Linked DNA regions of Saccharomyces cerevisiae S288C. Changing the gene in region 3 together with the main gene of any one other region gives a genetic interaction. Each region holds a gene or a part of one and is shown on either strand. Other genes may lie near its edges.

Evidence for each region. A genetic interaction does not mean that the proteins touch.
Region 1: mutations in YAL064W (region 3) and MAL31 together harm fitness more than expected from each alone (negative genetic interaction), as found in Saccharomyces cerevisiae (one large-scale study listed by BioGRID).
Region 2: mutations in YAL064W (region 3) and MXR1 together harm fitness more than expected from each alone (negative genetic interaction), as found in Saccharomyces cerevisiae (one large-scale study listed by BioGRID).

The regions. Positions count from the first base shown.
Region 1 is NC_001134.8:802,118-806,348, forward strand, and holds MAL31 (maltose permease), read right to left. Parts: upstream 2,359-4,231; coding exon 514-2,358; downstream 1-513. Other genes in the region: YBR298C-A (uncharacterized protein), read right to left, coding at 2,918-3,139; alpha-glucosidase MAL32, read left to right, coding at 3,234-4,231. UniProt on the Saccharomyces cerevisiae protein: High-affinity uptake of maltose and maltotriose. Also transports turanose but not alpha-methylglucoside, melezitose or trehalose.
Region 2 is NC_001137.3:233,226-236,004, reverse strand, and holds MXR1 (peptide-methionine-S-sulfoxide reductase), read right to left. Parts: upstream 1,069-2,779; coding exon 514-1,068; downstream 1-513. Other genes in the region: SAH1 (adenosylhomocysteinase), read left to right, coding at 1-235; YEN1 (crossover junction endodeoxyribonuclease), read right to left, coding at 1,265-2,779. UniProt on the Saccharomyces cerevisiae protein: Has an important function as a repair enzyme for proteins that have been inactivated by oxidation. Catalyzes the reversible oxidation-reduction of methionine sulfoxide in proteins to methionine.
Region 3 is NC_001133.9:19,902-22,359, reverse strand, and holds YAL064W (uncharacterized protein), read right to left. Parts: upstream 795-2,458; coding exon 510-794; downstream 1-509.

The DNA of each region.
Region 1 (4,231 bases), on a different chromosome or scaffold from region 3:
TATATACTTAAGCGGGCAGCTTACTAATATAAATTTTGTGGCATTTTTGTTGGGATATGAGAATCATGTATCGTTGATTTACAAAGCGAATTTACGTTACCAGGAATAGGGAATACTCTCTTGAATTCTAACATAAGCACAGAAATGCTGAAAGAATACGTCAAAAAGTAAATTTACAGAATTAAAAAAAAAATAATTGTTGCCGGAACATGAATAGAGTGTATCAATATACAATATAAAAATTCAAGCATTTTCATTAACGGGAATGAAAAAATTGTATATTAGTACTTCTTTTTGCAAGATATTTAAATCTAGGACCCTCATCACAATGATTCATTTAAATCATTAACGTTTTTTCAGAACAAAATAATAACCTCTAGTTGAAAAAACTTCAAAGCCGCAACAAAACCAAAAAAAAGTCATAATGTCGAGTAAAAATAAACTCGATGTGTTAAGTACTAGTTATATAAAATAAAATTAAATAACGCCGTATCTACCTACTGGCTAAAAAAATCATTTGTTCACAACAGATGAGGTGTTTCGCCCTTCATCTACCACAGAAGTTTCCAAATCTTCCTTCGGATCTTTAACATTAATTTCTGCAGCTGCTGCTTTGGCAGCTGCAAAAGGGTCGACTTTAGTCGACTTGAACTTTCTTGCTGGAACACCAAGTCTAAACAATTCATTTATCTCAATAAAAGTCCTGCCAGCGGTTTCTGGTAAATCGACAACAGCCCAAGCTAAAGTGGCCAGACAAAATCCTCCCCAGAAAAAGCCTGATTTAGCACCCCAATTCCATTTCTCTGAGTTCAATTGGTACATGATCAAAACTGTAACTACAACTTGGATCACATTGTAAGCATTACGAGCCAAAATAATTGTTTTGGTTCTTAGCCTTGAAGACGGTATTTCAGACACTAAGCAAAAAACAACAGGTGCAATACCGAGGTTGTAAAAGAACGCGACAACCATTAGAAGAGCACCACTACCCATTTTAGCGCCATGAGTGTCTGAACATCCTAAACCACCGATAATGAAGAACATAATAGCCTGAAAAGCCAGCCCAAAAGCATAAAGGTCAAATCTGCCACAATATTTTGAAGCCCACCAGGATATAAACGTTGCAGCAATACCAAGACAATATTGGATAATACTGAAAGTAAAAGCCGTATCAGTGCTAACACCAGCTTTTTCATAAAAGTAAGTTGAATAACCAATTAATGATGCACCACAGGAGCATTGACCGATCCAACATAAACAAGCTATTCTCGTTCTTCTCCTGTTAATACCATCTTTCACACAATCCCAGTAAGTTCCTTCATCAGACATTTTCTGCTCCTTTTCTATAGTAGTTTTGATTTTATCGAGTTCCATACTCACTAGTAATTCTTTCTCGGGTCCTTTACCACTTAATGTTCTTTCAAGTGATCTCCTCGCTTGATCAATCCTTCCTTTTTTAACCAGCCACCATGGAGACTCTGGTGCAAAAAAAATACCTACCGCCAAAGGAAGGGGCCAGATCCACTGCAAAGCAAAAGGTAGCTTATATCCTAGTTCTGAGTTGGCATATTTGTTCTGGGAATTTTTCATAATACCAGCAGCGAAAAGTTGACCGAACGCCCAACATAAATTAGAATAAGTCGTCAAATAGTATCTTAGGGCCAAAGGACAAATTTCAGAAGCATAAGAAACGGTCAAACATTGGAAACAACCCCATGGCATACCACACAATGCCTGTCCCACGGCAATCATACCCAAACTCTTGCAAAAATACAGAATGAAAATGAAAGCCGCTAAAAAGAACAACGCCATGATCAGAGTGTAACGGTTGCCCATGTAATCTACAGAAGGCCCAGTCATTTGCAAACCGACAATCTCACCTGCCATGTAGCATAGACATAGACCGATTTGCCAGGAAACTGAAATTTCATAATCTCCTGTATTGCTATTCAAAGAACCATATTTTTTTTGAAAAACAGGCAGGGCATAGAAAGCTCCTAGAATGGCTGTGTCATAACCCTCTTGAATCAATGTTGTGGAAACTAATAGTGACCAAGCAGCAGCTTTTGGATATGTCTTCAAAGCTGTCATGAGTGGCATTCCCCTCTCACTTTCATCTGCCTCTTTGGCGTCCTGCATAGCTTCATCGAGAAGGTCGGGGACTTCTTCATTATTATCGTTTGGTATTAGTGAACCTGGACCGTACTCAAGATGGGAAAGATCAAAATCACTTTTCTTACCTTGCTCCTCCATCTCTATCGAGTTGAATTCGGTAGCGTTCACGCCATTCTCGATCTCATCTAAGTGTGAGTCGTTCCTGTCTTTTTTTCTGTTTATTAATGAGGATAATCCCTTCATAGTTAATTAATAGTCTTGGATGTAATTCTTATTGTTATACTGAATACGCTAAAACCACTCACAACAAGTATGGAGTATATTGTGTCTCTTTATATACTGAGTACTTATGCAATATGCGCTCACTCAGGATGAAATGTACACAGCCGAAAGTATATTGAAAGCTGCCTCTGTGGAAACTTCTATCTAATGTTGTCTCCAGATGTAGACTATGAGGCCTGAAGAAGTCTTTAAACACCTGTTGGAGAGTATAAGGAGACTGCTACAACAACGTCTTCCCCACAAAAATTATGTGGAGGCCGGTATGATACCTGCACAAACGTTAAGTTACACATGAAAAAGAGACTGACATAACTTTGATCTCTGAAAATATGTTTTCCCCTGAGTAGCTTCACTGCTTGGATACCAATACGAATAGACCTTGGCTATAGTAAGTTGCATCTGTACCGTAGAGATTCTTGCAACCTCGCTTAAACTCTCGCTTTTATATAATATTTCTCCTTATTGCGCGCTTCGTTGAAAATTTCGCTAAACACGGGGTTTAAGTTTAAGTTTACAGGATTTATCCGGAAGTTTTCGCGGACCCCACACAATTAAGAATTGGCTCGAAGAGTGATAACGCATACTTTTCTTTTCTTTTTTCAGTTCCTAGCGTACCTAACGTAGGTAACATGATTTGGATCGTGGGATGATACAAACAACGTAAGATGAGTAGTTCCTTCCTCAATTCTTCTTTCAGCATCATTTTCTTGAGGCGCTCTGGGCAAGGTATAAAAAGTTCCATTAATACGTCTCTAAAAAATTAAACCATCTATCTCTTAAGCAGTTTTTTTGATAATCTCAAATGTACATCAGTCAAGCGTAACTAAAATACATAAATGACTATTTCTGATCATCCAGAAACAGAACCAAAGTGGTGGAAAGAGGCCACAATCTATCAAATTTACCCAGCAAGTTTTAAAGACTCCAATAACGATGGCTGGGGTGATTTAAAAGGTATCACTTCCAAGTTGCAGTATATTAAAGATCTTGGCGTTGATGCTATTTGGGTTTGTCCGTTTTATGACTCTCCTCAACAAGATATGGGGTATGATATATCTAACTACGAAAAGGTCTGGCCCACATACGGTACCAACGAGGACTGTTTTGAGCTAATTGACAAGACTCATAAGCTGGGTATGAAATTCATCACCGATTTGGTTATCAACCACTGTTCTACAGAACACGAATGGTTCAAAGAGAGCAGATCCTCGAAGACCAATCCGAAGCGTGACTGGTTCTTCTGGAGACCTCCTAAAGGTTATGACGCCGAAGGCAAGCCAATTCCTCCAAACAATTGGAAATCTTTCTTTGGTGGTTCAGCTTGGACTTTTGATGAAACTACAAATGAATTTTACCTCCGTTTGTTTGCGAGTCGTCAAGTTGACTTGAATTGGGAGAATGAAGACTGCAGAAGGGCAATCTTTGAAAGTGCTGTTGGATTTTGGCTGGACCATGGTGTAGATGGTTTTAGAATCGATACCGCTGGTTTGTATTCGAAACGTCCTGGTTTACCAGATTCCCCAATTTTTGACAAAACCTCGAAATTACAACATCCAAATTGGGGGTCTCACAATGGTCCTAGGATTCATGAATATCATCAAGAACTACACAGATTTATGAAAAACAGGGTGAAAGATGGTAGAGAAATAATGACAGTCGGTGAAGTTGCCCATGGAAGTGATAATGCTTTATACACCAGTGCAGCTAGATACGAAGTCAGCGAAGTTTTCTCCTTCACGCACGTTGAACTTGGTACCTCGCCATTTTTCCGTTATAACATAGTGCCCTTCACCTTGAAACAATGGAAAGAAGCCATTGCATCGAACTTTTTGTT
Region 2 (2,779 bases), on a different chromosome or scaffold from region 3:
AATTGCTTTGTTCAAGTCTAACGATAAGTCTTTCAGAGAAAAGCACATTGAATTCCAAAAGACAGGCCCATTCGAAGTTGGTGTCCACGTTTTGCCAAAGATCTTGGATGAAGCTGTCGCTAAGTTCCACTTGGGCAACTTGGGTGTTAGATTGACTAAATTGAGTAAAGTCCAATCTGAATACTTGGGTATTCCAGAAGAAGGTCCATTCAAGGCCGACCACTACAGATATTGATCAATTCAATTCCCATTTCAGTTCTTCTTTCTCACTATTTTTTAATGTTCAAAAACTCAACGGTTTGATCATCAAAAAAGATCATAAATAAATTGCAAATATAAAAACAACAGCTAACAATCCTATCACAGTATTAATACTAATACATGTGATACTAAGTTACGTTATCGAAAAGATAGATCCTGTATACCTATATATATAATAAATTCTTCAACAGTAAATATTTCATTCATGCACTTGACTTTTTTTCATAAATAAGGGCACGTACACTAAAAAAGCTACATTTCTCTCAGATAATGAGTAGGGCATGCATATCCCTGTGGATTCTTATCTAAATATAACTGGTGGTATTCTTCAGCATCGTAAAAGTTCTTGATTGGTTCAATAACTGTGGCAATCTTATTACCCCATTTTGGTTGCCATTCTTCCTTTATTTTGGCTAATTCTTTTAAATCAGCATCTGAATGAGCGAACAATCCACTGCGATACTGTGTACCTTTATCAGGTCCTTGTGAATTAGATGTAGTAGGATCATGGATTCTAAAAAAGAAATCAGTTAATTCTCTCAAAGTTATCACTTTGGGATTATAGGATACTTGTAAAACCTCCGCAAAATCTGTGTCACCACCACAAACTCTCTTATAAGAGACACTAGAGGGGCTATCCTTTTTAGACTCTTCTCCATTAGCGTAACCTACTTTACAATCCACTATACGGTCATTCAAATACTTCCTATACATATGTTCTGTACCCCAAAAACATCCACATGCTAATGTGATTAATTTATCCTTGGCTGGATCATACTTAATGGTTTTTGAAATAAGCGACGACATTGCAACTTGATTTACTTGTTAAGTTTTTGACGTTAGAATATAACTGTCTTTCCAATTAAATCTATATATATGATATTGAAAAATGTGTCTCTGTCTACTCTTGTTTATATATGCCCTTCATTTTACTCATCGCAACTCCCTCGTTTTCGGCGCGATCAACTGTGGTGGCGGATTTTTTGACGCTGTGCCCGTTAACTCATTCAATAGTGCTACTGCTATCACTGTCACAGGCTACAAACCGGTCGACTGTATCTTGTGCGTCTGTGACAAGTTGGTCAAGGACAGAGGAGTGTTCTCTTTCTAACCTTGGAGCAGTCAAGTTTGGAGGCAACATCTTAGTACCTTGAAGGCGAGCATTGATTGTGATGCTTGAGCGTGATTTTAAACCAGACTCAGGCGGATTTTTCTCAGCATTAGTAGTTCTTGACTTTTTTATTGGTGATATTTCTATTACGTCCTTCCAAACGTCAACCTGTTCGTCCTGTGTAAGATCCCGAATTCTTTTACCGGGTGAACTATCTAAAACGCTTTGGCTGTTTGTAATCTCATCTACAAAAATCAACGAATCATCGTCATTATCGCTGTGTTCATCGACGGTGGTCAGTCTTGTGGGAGCCGGTATTTCTTCCAGACTAGTATCTTCGTCTGTATCTACAAAAAGCCTTTTTCTCACAGGTTCCAGGATTTCCTTTCTCGACTCGCCTACCTTTCCGATACTTTTAATCGGCGAAGTATGCTTTCTTAAAAACTCATCCAAGTTATTCTTCTGTGGTAGCCGAGACTTATTCGATTTTTTACCTTTCTTCTCTTTTTCTTTCTGTATAAGTTGCTGTGTCTCATAATATTGAATTACTAATGGATGCGATTGAGGTATCAAGTATTTGGGTAACCAAAGACTATTTGGGTGTTCCATTATATCCATCTGACGTCGTGTGGGACTCTTGCTTCTACTGGGAGAATTACTGCGCTTCAAAGGAGATTGAGAAGAAATGGGTATATTAGGCAAGAATGTTGTATACCGTATTTTAAAACATGGTATTTGGAACTTTCCACCATCTATGTTCATAATTTTTTCTTCGGTAATCCTCATATTACCTTTACCTATATTATCGGACTCATCAATTGATAAAAATTCTCTTAATAGAAACATCTCGTGCATAGAATCATGAAACCACTTGTCGAAGCTAGAAATTTGAGGCAAATTCAAACTTTGTAAAAAATATTTCAGTTCATTGAAATTTAAGTTTCTGTAGTGTCCGTTTCCAGCCATATTTATGTATTTATCACTGAGAACTTCTTCATCAAAATATGGTTGGACAATGGGGTGAAAATAGTGCATGATTGCGACAGTTGATGGCCAGCCTTCAAATGAACCTTGATTCAATAAAACAGGATAATTTCTTCCAAATAGCTCGACAGAATGATCCTTGCAGTATAAATATAATCTTTTTTGAAACAATCTATACCGAGACTTCCTCAGACTTTCTGATGTCAAATCTTCTAAATTGAAATCTTTGAAAATGTCATAAAATTCCATGGAAAAGTTAGGATCTTCGCATTGAGCCAACTGCAAAGATTTGTTTTTACCCAAACCCTTGACTCCACGATTGTAATCGGCACCTAATAGCACGCTGAAAAATAAGAGAGACAGGCGATCAAACTTCTTCCCTGCTACTTTATTAATTTTGGGTAGATCTATAACAGTAACAAA
Region 3 (2,458 bases):
TTTTGCATTTCAGTGTCCATTAGATCTTGGGACCATTTCCTCAATCTTCATGTCGTCTTTTCACACCGTATATAATATACTAGTAATATAAGTACTAGTCGATAGCTCGCAGTTGAGTCTTATTCCAACAGTTAATGACTCACTGTGCTTTCTGTTGCTGTAGAATTTCTGAGGCATTGTCGCTCTCTTCTATGTGATGCTACAACGGAACTAGGCTTCTTATATATCGTGGTCCTACAAGATCTTGGTATCTCGTTTGCTTACTTTGAAGCTTCACTGATATATAGTACTTAAACCACTTTTATGTTCATGGATAATCGTAATTGTACTACGCTGGTACCAGTTATGAACCCTATCAAATCATCATTGAACACTGCTATTTTTAACTAATCAAGATATATATGCGGCGTACTTTATAATTTCACGACACTATTGAAAGCAAACTAAAAATCAAGTAAATACCTATCCAAGTTGCGGGCTCTGGATTTATGTGGCCTTAAATTTTCGACCTATGGTTCGCTATTCAATATTAGAAAACCAAAATTAGGTACAAGTACTGATTGCGTCCGTGATTTGAAGAGCAGCGTTAAAAGATTACAAGATTTTGCGTGTCTTGGCCGACACTTAACTTTAAGCGTCTCGACTTGGTAACATGAGTTGCCAAAAGTTTTTCTCTCCAATCTGAATATGGGGAACCGGAATCTGTCTTTGACCTGACTTTCAAATTGTTGCATATGTAAAAAAAAAACAGAAGAAATATTATCTTGTCCTTCTAGCGATGCAAAAGGATTCATTACAAATCGTTGCAAAGGCCGAAAAGTTGCAGTATATTCGCATTGCTTATTTGAAGTACGTTTGTATACACATCGATAGTATTCATTAACACCACAACGGCTGAGTATACTATGTCAAACAGCACAATAAAGCCTGTCTGCGATTTTTTCCTCTACGTTCAAAAATCTCATTCAAGGCATAATCCCATATGTTGAAGATCGCTACCCATTGTTACAGGCAAACTGAATTTTTGGAAATGAGCTTGTACTTAGTAAATTTCTCTTTGCTTGCATCTTTTTCTTCCTTGTCAAAAAATAAAAGATACTCATTTTAAAAGCGCAGCCATATTGACTAAGTAAGTAATTATAATACTATGAGTAATTTTTGAGTACTGTGCTCATTTATTAGCTGCTTTTCTGAGAAAGATCCTCGATAATCAACTCCAGGTTAGTGGGGCGCTTCTACGGTCTCTTCTAACCAATTGTTCCCCGTGAGTTGCTTTCTCCGAAAACCTTATTATACATTAGGGTTATAAGAAAATTTTCTTTTTCCCGTAGATTAACTTGCAATGCCGAACTTCTAGATGTCACACCAGACCGTTTGACACCGCCATTTTCCTTCCTTTTCGGAAAAATGTGCCGATAAATGGTAAGACGCGACGCCACCGCTGCGAATATTGCGCTTATGATGAAGCAAAAGGAAAAAGCAAGTTCCCCTTAAATTCGTATAACTGTTTCATCAATCTTTAGTTCTGGCATTTGAAAGTTAATTAAACTTTTCTTCGTGGTTTCTACAGGAGTTCTGCATGTGCGTAATTCGAAGCCTGTGAAGGAAAAAGTATTGTCCTAAACAACAGCCGTAGAATACGTCAACTATAGTTTAAAATATTTTCTGGCTCTACCCGGTGCGATAGGTCTGGCTCTTTTCTATTTACTTTTGTTTGGAGTTGTTGAGGCCGATACCCGTCTAGATGTAAATATGAAATAACAGTTCGAGGTTTTATTACGAGAATGGAAAGGGTAATGGATTGGAGCATGTGTAAATGTCAATAGCAGAAAAAATTTACCGCAAATTGTTTCGTAGTCTTATCTTCATCGGACACTCAAGGGTTGCATAATTTTTACCCAAAGGAACAGTATACTTTTTTAATAAAAAAATCATGTTACCTATGGAGTATTGTAAGCATTTTCAGAAACTCGTCTTTTGAGTTCTAAATGCATCATACAACAACAACAATTTCTTATTACTGTGTCCTTTTGGGATTTTTCAGCCTTCCTGGCTTACCCAAAATAGCCTCTCAAGGTGAAAAAAACCATGCCTGCAAGCGGATCTAAGGATGAGTAGCTGGATTACAATAAATCCTGAATTTTCTCTGAGTGTCAACTTTGTCAGCGCTTGTTAAAGGGCTACTACGCTGAAAAAGAACCTGAACCCCGTTAATAGGTTGACGATTTTATGACTTGGTATGCTATTCCATACGGCGGCTCTCCTGATTGCGGTGGGTCATTGCTATAACAGTAAAATCAAGGAAGATAACAGGAAGAGTAACTTTAGTACAATAAATCTGTTGTCTACCGAGGATTATAATTGTTCGGCTTTCACACTAAGTTGAAAGGGGACTCAGGAAATGACAGGGTACGTTTTAGTTTCTTCAAATAAATCTTCCACACCCAGCTTCAATGTG